2 linked regions of the Saccharomyces cerevisiae S288C genome follow. Changing the gene in region 1 together with any one later gene gives a genetic interaction. Each region holds a gene or a part of one and is shown in the gene's direction. Other genes may lie near its edges. The genes, in order: ASG1 and YPR015C.

What was found.
Region 2: mutations in ASG1 (region 1) and YPR015C together harm fitness more than expected from each alone (negative genetic interaction), as found in Saccharomyces cerevisiae (one large-scale study listed by BioGRID).

The regions. Positions count from the first base shown.
Region 1 is NC_001141.2:100,759-106,452, forward strand, and holds ASG1 (Asg1p), read left to right. Parts: upstream 1-2,023; coding exon 2,024-4,918; downstream 4,919-5,694. Other genes in the region: forkhead family transcription factor FKH1, read right to left, coding at 23-1,477; TAO3 (Tao3p), read right to left, coding at 5,349-5,694. UniProt on the Saccharomyces cerevisiae protein: Probable transcription factor involved in the stress response.
Region 2 is NC_001148.4:589,493-592,758, reverse strand, and holds YPR015C (uncharacterized protein), read left to right. Parts: upstream 1-1,732; coding exon 1,733-2,476; downstream 2,477-3,266. Other genes in the region: TIF6 (translation initiation factor 6), read left to right, coding at 1-427.

The DNA.
Region 1 (5,694 bases):
ATGGGTTCGACGACGCTGAATTTCAACTCAGAGAGGAATTGTTCACGTTTGCGTTTGTTGTTACGTCCATGGATGTCGTAGTAGAAATTTGGCCAGTGAGTTGAGTTCTTTGTAATTGCGGGGCGCTTTCACCTAAAATCGAGCTCGTAGCTTGTAAAGACTTTTTCACCTTCTGTGCTTTTATCCCCCTCGGGTCAATTGATGAAGATTCAGGAGCAGGTATTTCTCCAAATTTGGACATGTGCAATTGCAGCTGTCTTGTCACAGAGGCGCCTCGTCTAATCTTACTCAATTTACCAGCATTCCACTTGTTCAAAAAATCACGCCTGACTTCATCGCTAATTTTCCAATTCATCCCTTTACCTTGTTGACCAGCTCTTTTGGGCACCTTCTCGAAGGCTTTATTTAGGGACAGATTATGCCTCACGGAGTTCTGCCACGCCATTTGAGAAAACCTGTAAAATGCGTAGTTGTCAGAGATAAATTTGTAAATATCCGCTAATGAAATACTACCTTCGGGTGTTGAAAGAATGGCTTGGGTGATCATCGATGCATACGACTGTGGTGGTTTGATATATCTGTTTTCATCCAGCGACAAGTCTGATGGATTTTCTATATGGGGTACATTACCGTTAGTGACAGCATTGTTGCTACTGGACGTGTATGTATTCGGTCTAATTCCTCCTCTGGTGTAATTTTCATCTTCTTCATCTTCTTCCATCATAATCGTGTCTCCATGTGGATCCCCTATTGGGTTAACATCTGATGATGACGATAATGGGGTGTGTAGGTGGTCCAGCTGTTGTAATCGAGCCTCTTCCTGTAACCTTTGCTCTCTTAAATAGGTAGAACCTTCGATAATGTTACGTAGCAACGGGTTGTTGTTACCATTCGTACCATAAGTAGATAGTAATTTGGGCATGAGGTGATTCAGGCAATAATCCGATATAATAGTTTCTTGTTCCGGCAATATAAAGATCATTTGCACACCACCTATGTCTATGATACAACCAGACTGTAGCACCGTAGGAGGAGAGTCTGGACCTGTGGGAATCCTTCTAAAATTGACCTTAGCACCATTTCTACCGAATATCTGTAATTCCCATGATCCGCTCTCCAGGTTGAATCTGATTGCAGCATGCTTCCTAGACACAATTTTGGCAGGACCAAGATCAATGTCTATATTCTTCTTCACGACTGTACCGGGCACAGCATTCAAGTTCAAGCTGTCTGTGTTCCTACCAATGGTAACTTCTAATTTTTGTACATAATACGTCCAATCACATCCGGCAATTTTAGCATAAGCGTTGACCTCTCTGGCAATACTCAAGCTATTGGAATAGTCACTTGACACAGCCACAGGATCGCTTGACGAGCTAAGAACACATGTCACCGCATTAACAAGCCCTTGGCGATCCTGGGCTGTATACGAACTATACTTACCACTAAATTTTTGTTCCCTACTGGTAACAGACATTTATTATTACTGTGTCTCTCCAAGCCTTTCTTTGCTAATTGAACGCACAATTTACACACTATTATTTAAACCTTCAATCTTCTATAGAGCCGGTATTCATCTAAACCTCTTACCATCCTGTTCTCTCTATACCGTTTCTGATTTGTTTATGTTTTTCCATTTTTTTGTTTACCTCATCCATGGATCATAACCTATTTCGTAACTTTTTTAGACCTATCATATATGCTATATTTCCGTTCAAGCCCTTAAAAAACATTTTATAAGACCTACGCTCTTCAAGCCCTAGTGATTTCTTTTTTTCTTTTTTTTTTTTTTGGTAATTTTTTTTTCAAAAGTGACTACAGTAATGAGGTTTGTCTACCTGGACATGACCTTCTATTGTTGAGTAGTTCCTTGCATTGAAGACAACCAGTAATCGAATTTTTTATAAAGCGGTTAGAAAATCTCGAAGAGGTTAACATATAGAAAAAAAGCCTCTTTTTATTTGAGTTCCATAAGGTAAGAGACAAAGAAAAAGGAGCGCATATTATAATTGATAAGGGCGTTATGCCAGAACAAGCGCAACAAGGGGAACAGTCTGTCAAGAGAAGAAGGGTCACTAGAGCCTGTGATGAATGCAGAAAGAAAAAAGTTAAATGTGATGGTCAGCAACCATGTATCCATTGTACTGTGTACTCTTATGAATGTACTTATAAGAAGCCTACGAAGAGAACACAGAACTCCGGAAACTCCGGAGTTCTAACACTGGGCAATGTTACTACTGGTCCATCATCAAGTACTGTGGTGGCAGCCGCCGCTTCCAATCCAAATAAACTCCTCTCAAACATTAAAACAGAAAGGGCTATTTTACCGGGTGCTTCTACAATACCTGCAAGTAACAATCCATCTAAACCAAGAAAGTATAAGACTAAGAGCACAAGGTTACAATCGAAGATTGACAGGTACAAGCAAATATTTGATGAGGTCTTCCCGCAGTTACCTGATATAGACAATCTGGATATTCCTGTGTTCTTGCAGATCTTTCACAATTTTAAGAGGGACTCGCAGTCGTTTTTAGATGACACTGTGAAAGAATATACTTTAATCGTAAATGACAGTTCTTCTCCGATCCAACCAGTACTTTCTTCAAATTCAAAAAACTCCACTCCAGACGAATTTTTACCTAACATGAAAAGTGACTCGAATAGCGCCTCCAGCAACAGGGAACAAGACAGTGTAGATACCTACTCCAATATCCCCGTTGGTAGAGAAATAAAAATAATTCTACCACCAAAAGCGATCGCTTTACAATTCGTGAAAAGTACTTGGGAACATTGCTGTGTTCTTCTCCGATTTTATCACAGACCATCGTTCATTAGACAATTGGATGAGTTGTATGAGACAGACCCAAACAATTATACGTCTAAGCAAATGCAATTTTTACCATTGTGCTACGCTGCAATCGCTGTGGGAGCATTATTCTCGAAATCCATTGTCTCAAATGACTCGTCAAGGGAAAAGTTTCTACAGGATGAAGGTTACAAGTACTTCATTGCAGCAAGGAAACTAATCGACATTACAAATGCCCGTGACTTGAATTCCATACAAGCAATTTTAATGCTGATTATATTCTTACAATGTTCCGCACGTTTATCAACGTGTTACACTTATATCGGTGTCGCCATGAGAAGTGCTTTGAGAGCAGGCTTTCATAGGAAATTGAGCCCCAATTCTGGTTTTAGTCCAATAGAAATTGAGATGAGGAAACGCCTTTTTTATACAATCTATAAACTGGACGTTTATATCAATGCAATGCTGGGCCTACCGAGATCTATTTCCCCCGACGATTTTGACCAAACTCTCCCCCTGGATTTATCAGATGAGAATATCACTGAGGTGGCGTACCTACCTGAGAACCAACACTCCGTTTTATCAAGTACGGGGATTTCGAATGAACATACAAAACTATTTTTGATTTTAAATGAGATCATTTCTGAACTATATCCGATAAAAAAAACTAGTAATATAATTTCTCATGAGACAGTTACTAGCTTGGAATTAAAGTTGAGAAATTGGTTGGATTCGTTGCCCAAAGAACTGATACCTAACGCAGAAAATATTGATCCTGAATATGAAAGGGCAAATCGTTTATTACATTTGTCTTTTTTGCACGTTCAGATAATATTATACAGGCCTTTTATTCATTATTTATCACGCAACATGAATGCTGAAAATGTAGATCCCTTATGTTACCGGAGAGCCCGGAACTCTATTGCCGTGGCTCGAACGGTTATTAAGTTAGCAAAAGAGATGGTTAGTAATAATTTATTAACTGGTTCATACTGGTATGCCTGTTATACAATTTTTTACTCCGTTGCAGGTCTCTTATTTTACATCCATGAGGCGCAATTGCCTGATAAGGATAGTGCTAGAGAATATTATGATATTTTGAAAGACGCAGAAACTGGTAGAAGCGTTCTTATTCAACTCAAGGATTCTAGTATGGCCGCTAGCAGGACTTATAATTTATTGAACCAAATTTTTGAAAAACTAAACTCAAAAACTATCCAGCTTACTGCGTTACATTCATCACCATCCAACGAAAGTGCCTTTTTAGTGACTAATAATTCCTCCGCTTTGAAACCTCATTTAGGAGATTCATTGCAACCACCCGTATTCTTTTCTTCCCAGGATACGAAGAATAGCTTTTCATTAGCTAAGAGTGAAGAAAGCACCAATGATTACGCTATGGCTAATTACCTAAATAATACACCTATTTCCGAAAATCCTTTAAATGAAGCACAACAGCAAGATCAAGTATCCCAAGGAACGACTAACATGTCTAATGAAAGAGATCCGAACAATTTCTTATCTATTGATATCAGACTTGATAATAATGGCCAATCAAATATTCTTGATGCCACAGATGACGTCTTTATCAGGAATGACGGCGACATCCCTACTAACAGTGCATTCGATTTTAGCAGCAGTAAGAGCAATGCATCAAATAACTCCAACCCAGATACCATTAACAACAACTACAATAATGTTAGTGGCAAAAACAATAATAACAATAATATTACTAACAATAGTAATAATAATCACAACAACAACAACAACGACAACAACAACAACAATAATAATAATAATAATAATAATAATAACAATAACAATAGTGGTAATAGTAGTAATAATAATAACAATAATAACAATAATAAAAATAATAATGACTTCGGCATTAAGATTGATAACAATTCACCGTCTTATGAAGGGTTTCCCCAGTTACAAATACCGCTTTCACAAGACAATTTGAACATAGAAGATAAAGAGGAGATGTCACCTAATATTGAAATTAAAAACGAACAAAATATGACTGACTCAAACGATATTCTTGGAGTATTCGATCAGTTAGATGCTCAGCTATTTGGGAAATACCTACCTTTAAATTACCCCTCTGAATGAAAACGTTATCTTTGATTTATATTCTATAATATCGTGGCTACAGCACTTGCTGAACATAAGCTTAAAACGTTTATGTGTGTATTTATATATGATAATAATAATAATAATAATAATAATAATAATAATAATAATAATAATAATAATAATAATGGTGATAAACTGCAATAACAAAAGAAAATAGTACCAATCCTGGATCTAGTTTTCCCTAAAATCCAATTTTTACTTATCAGCCTCACTTCCTAAACTACCTCACCTTCAAAAGCTCGATAATTAAAAGAAAACATGAATAATATAGTAAACAATGATAATAGTTTCTCTATAAGATTATCTAATTTTCGAACAGTATTAGCTATATGCGAAATATCTTCATCATTGGTACCTTATCATAAACCAAGGCCTGCTTTATATTTATTTGAACGAAAAAATTAACTTATATTCTTGGCTTTCCATTCCTGTTTATTTTCACAGCAAATGAATCAGCCAAATGAGTTTTAAATGAAACATTGGACGGTGTTCTAGATAAGCTCCTGTTCAGTATGACTGAGACCTTTTTGTCATACAACTGTGGAGCAGACTCAAAGGAAAAAGTTTGATCTGTGCGAGTGGTTTCAATCGAATCAGAACGTCCATGTGGAATTCCCATCCCCATTTTAGAGGAGATATTTGGCACATTTGTGTCCTTTGTGAAAAAACTATCAAGATTATCTAGCTCTGCCCACATGTGACTTAACGAAGCATCCTTTTCTTCCGCAACAGAAATGGAATCGTTTGTGTCC
Region 2 (3,266 bases), on another chromosome or scaffold:
GGGTAACGTCATCTGTTGTAATGATTACGTTGCTTTAGTGCATCCAGATATCGACAGAGAAACTGAAGAATTGATAAGTGATGTACTAGGCGTTGAGGTCTTCCGTCAAACCATATCAGGTAATATCTTAGTTGGGTCATATTGTTCTTTAAGTAATCAAGGTGGGTTAGTGCATCCACAAACAAGTGTCCAAGATCAAGAAGAATTGTCCTCCTTATTACAAGTTCCTTTGGTGGCTGGTACCGTTAACCGTGGTAGTTCAGTTGTCGGTGCCGGTATGGTTGTGAACGATTACTTGGCAGTTACAGGTCTGGATACTACAGCCCCAGAATTGAGTGTTATTGAAAGTATTTTCCGCTTGCAAGATGCCCAACCAGAATCCATTTCAGGTAACCTACGTGATACTTTGATTGAAACCTACTCATAGATGTCAGGTACTCCTGAGGGGATTCCCCTCCTTCCTCAAGTCTGTTTACAGTTGTATGCGAAAGAGTCCCCATGTTGCAATAATCTTCTTACGTATCATTTGTGGTATTTTTTTTGGTATAACAAATATTTTTTCTTAGGTTTCTATGCATTTTAATTTTAGTTGTATGTATATTATGTACTCTTTTATTTTTTTTTTTTTTCTTATACCTATGGGTGACTATTCATTGCAGTTTAAGTAGGCGTCTTAATTGTAACATGTAGTCACTTTGTTCGAAGCATATGTAACGGGTTTCTAAGCAAATTCTTTGCATAATATGGATTTTCCGTCCGCTTCTCCGACTATTCTGACAACTTGCTCAGTTCCAAGTATCTGTTAGACAATATAGAACTTCTCCAAGAAAAATTGCACCGCACGTAGACCATTTGAAGGCTTTTTTGTCTAGCTGCTAGGACATACTATTGTCTCCACCAGAACCCGGAGAGTAGTATCTCTTGGCAAAGATTAATAAAATCGAACAAAGCTAATAGAACACCGGGGGTTGTGCGGTAAGATTTTCACAAGCGGTACAGAAGTGAGCCGTAAAATTATATATATATATATATATATATGGTGTACAACAAGTCAGCCGTCCATTTATGTGCTATCAAGCGAACTACGTTTCATCTCTTCAACTTGGTAGTTCTTGAGATATAAACACCCTGATCCATCGTACTCACTGAAATAGCAACAACTCCCTGAGTTCCATTGCCACGCATACCCACTCTCATATCCAGAAACAGCTAGTATTTCGATGTTTTTCCGCTCGAAGAAACTTCCGTAGTATTGTTGAGGTGTTGGGGGCATCGTTCCTTTTCGTACGCCAAAAATTCTTCCTCTATTGTTTCCAGAAAATCGTTGCAAAAAAATAAGTCCGCCACGCTGTTTTCTGTGACAACTCTATCTGGAGCCTTCACTAATGGTTTAAAAGGCACGATTTCCACAGAAAGTTTCGCAGCACTTGTTTGTACAAGGAGCGTAAAGCACCGGAAATCTTTTCCCACTGAAACCCTAAATATGAACGGCATTTGGTTGCCATGAGATACAGTCCCAAGAATTCTTTATATTATATAAGCGCTAGTTGTTGTCGCTCTTTTGACCTCATTGGTAGATATTTCAAATTACAAAATTATAATTGTTTTCTTGGTCCAACTTTTTTCTTCTTTTTGGAGGGCATTGCAAGGATCCAATACGATAAGCAAACGTCTTCATTGACCCGTTTCTAACTTTTAATATACATAAATTTTCATCTTCAACACTAATTAAATGTGGAGAACAAAAACGCTAGAATCTATGCTTTGTAGCCCAATGAAATGTTCATCGTCTAACATAGGGGGATCCTATGCGCAATCTTCAAAGGAAGTCTCGAACACGACCAAAAGGGAAGTGCATCTTCCACCTTGTTCGTCGATTATGCACGCTCCACTTACTCCTGAAATAAACCAGGCCGCACTACCACCTCCCGCTTACCATTACGCACCTTCTTCTCTGCATCAGACAGAGGATCCCGTATGGAGATCAAGTCCCAACTCTATTATCTTTTCGCCGGTTATAGCAACACCGCAACCTTTCCCTTTAACGTTCGTTGAACGTCAATCTTGTTGCCCTATTTATTCAACGGCAGCTTCCTCTTATACTGCCCAATCTGTACCTCCATCAATGCAGCATTTTCAGGAGGAAAACCACAGAGCGGTGAGCAACGAGCAGTACTCCCTCCCGAATGTGCATATAGGGCAAAATCCTGGGACGCTATTATCCCAAACACAAACCGACTTAGATCTTATACAAAAGCAACTGCGCGCTGTGGTAAAGCTACGGAAACAATGTCCTATCTGTGGGAAGGTTTGTTCGAGACCTTCAACACTGAGGACTCATTACTTAATACATACGGGAGACACACCTTTCAAATGTACTTGGGAGCATTGCAACAAATCTTTCAATGTCAAGAGTAACATGTTAAGGCATTTAAGAACCCATCAAAAGAAAATAGCAAAGAAAAAACATCAGTGAAAGCATTGTTTAGAATATTTTGTTTTCAGTGTGATTTTGATGTAGGTGTGACACTTTTTACCAAGTAAAATGAGTATAGATATGTATTAGTTCCATATAATATATTACATGTAGCCAACAATCAATTTTTACTGACTTCCGATTTTTGAATAGTGAGAGGATTTTTGTTCGAATTATAATTTCTACAAGAAATTTGTTTGCGAATGCATCAGCATTTGTAATACGGTTCTATACTGCCGCACGATACATTTTATTCTGTCTAGTTCGTAAGACAAAGGACCTTTTCATTTAGTACAACGTTGCCGACACGGATGTCTTGATGAATCTCTGTACCAGGAATTCAATTACCTGACTAGTATGCAGTTCACTATCAAAAAAAAAAAAAAGGTTAAATTGGTATAATCATGGTTAAAGAACAAACAGCCTCTTTCCTCTACAAAAGTATGTTAAATGTAGGTAGTTCAAATTGCGGTCACGTATATGCCAACGTTGTTAATATATAATGATCCATTGGAACAATGAAGTTTACAGAAGCTCAAAATTAATGCAAGAATAATTACGTCAAGGGAGTCATAACAAACTAAGAAAACAAAGGAATTTGACTAAGTTTGAGCGCAATGATATATCCATGCTTGATATTCTGATTCATACATATCGTTTCTGTCATTTCAATGGAAGTCTTTATTTATCAATTACCACAACCTTTAGTATTGTGCTTATTATTGGTCAAAAGGAGTTCATGCGCTAGTGATAGTCAACCCATGAAGTGATTAGTGGAACATAGAAGGGG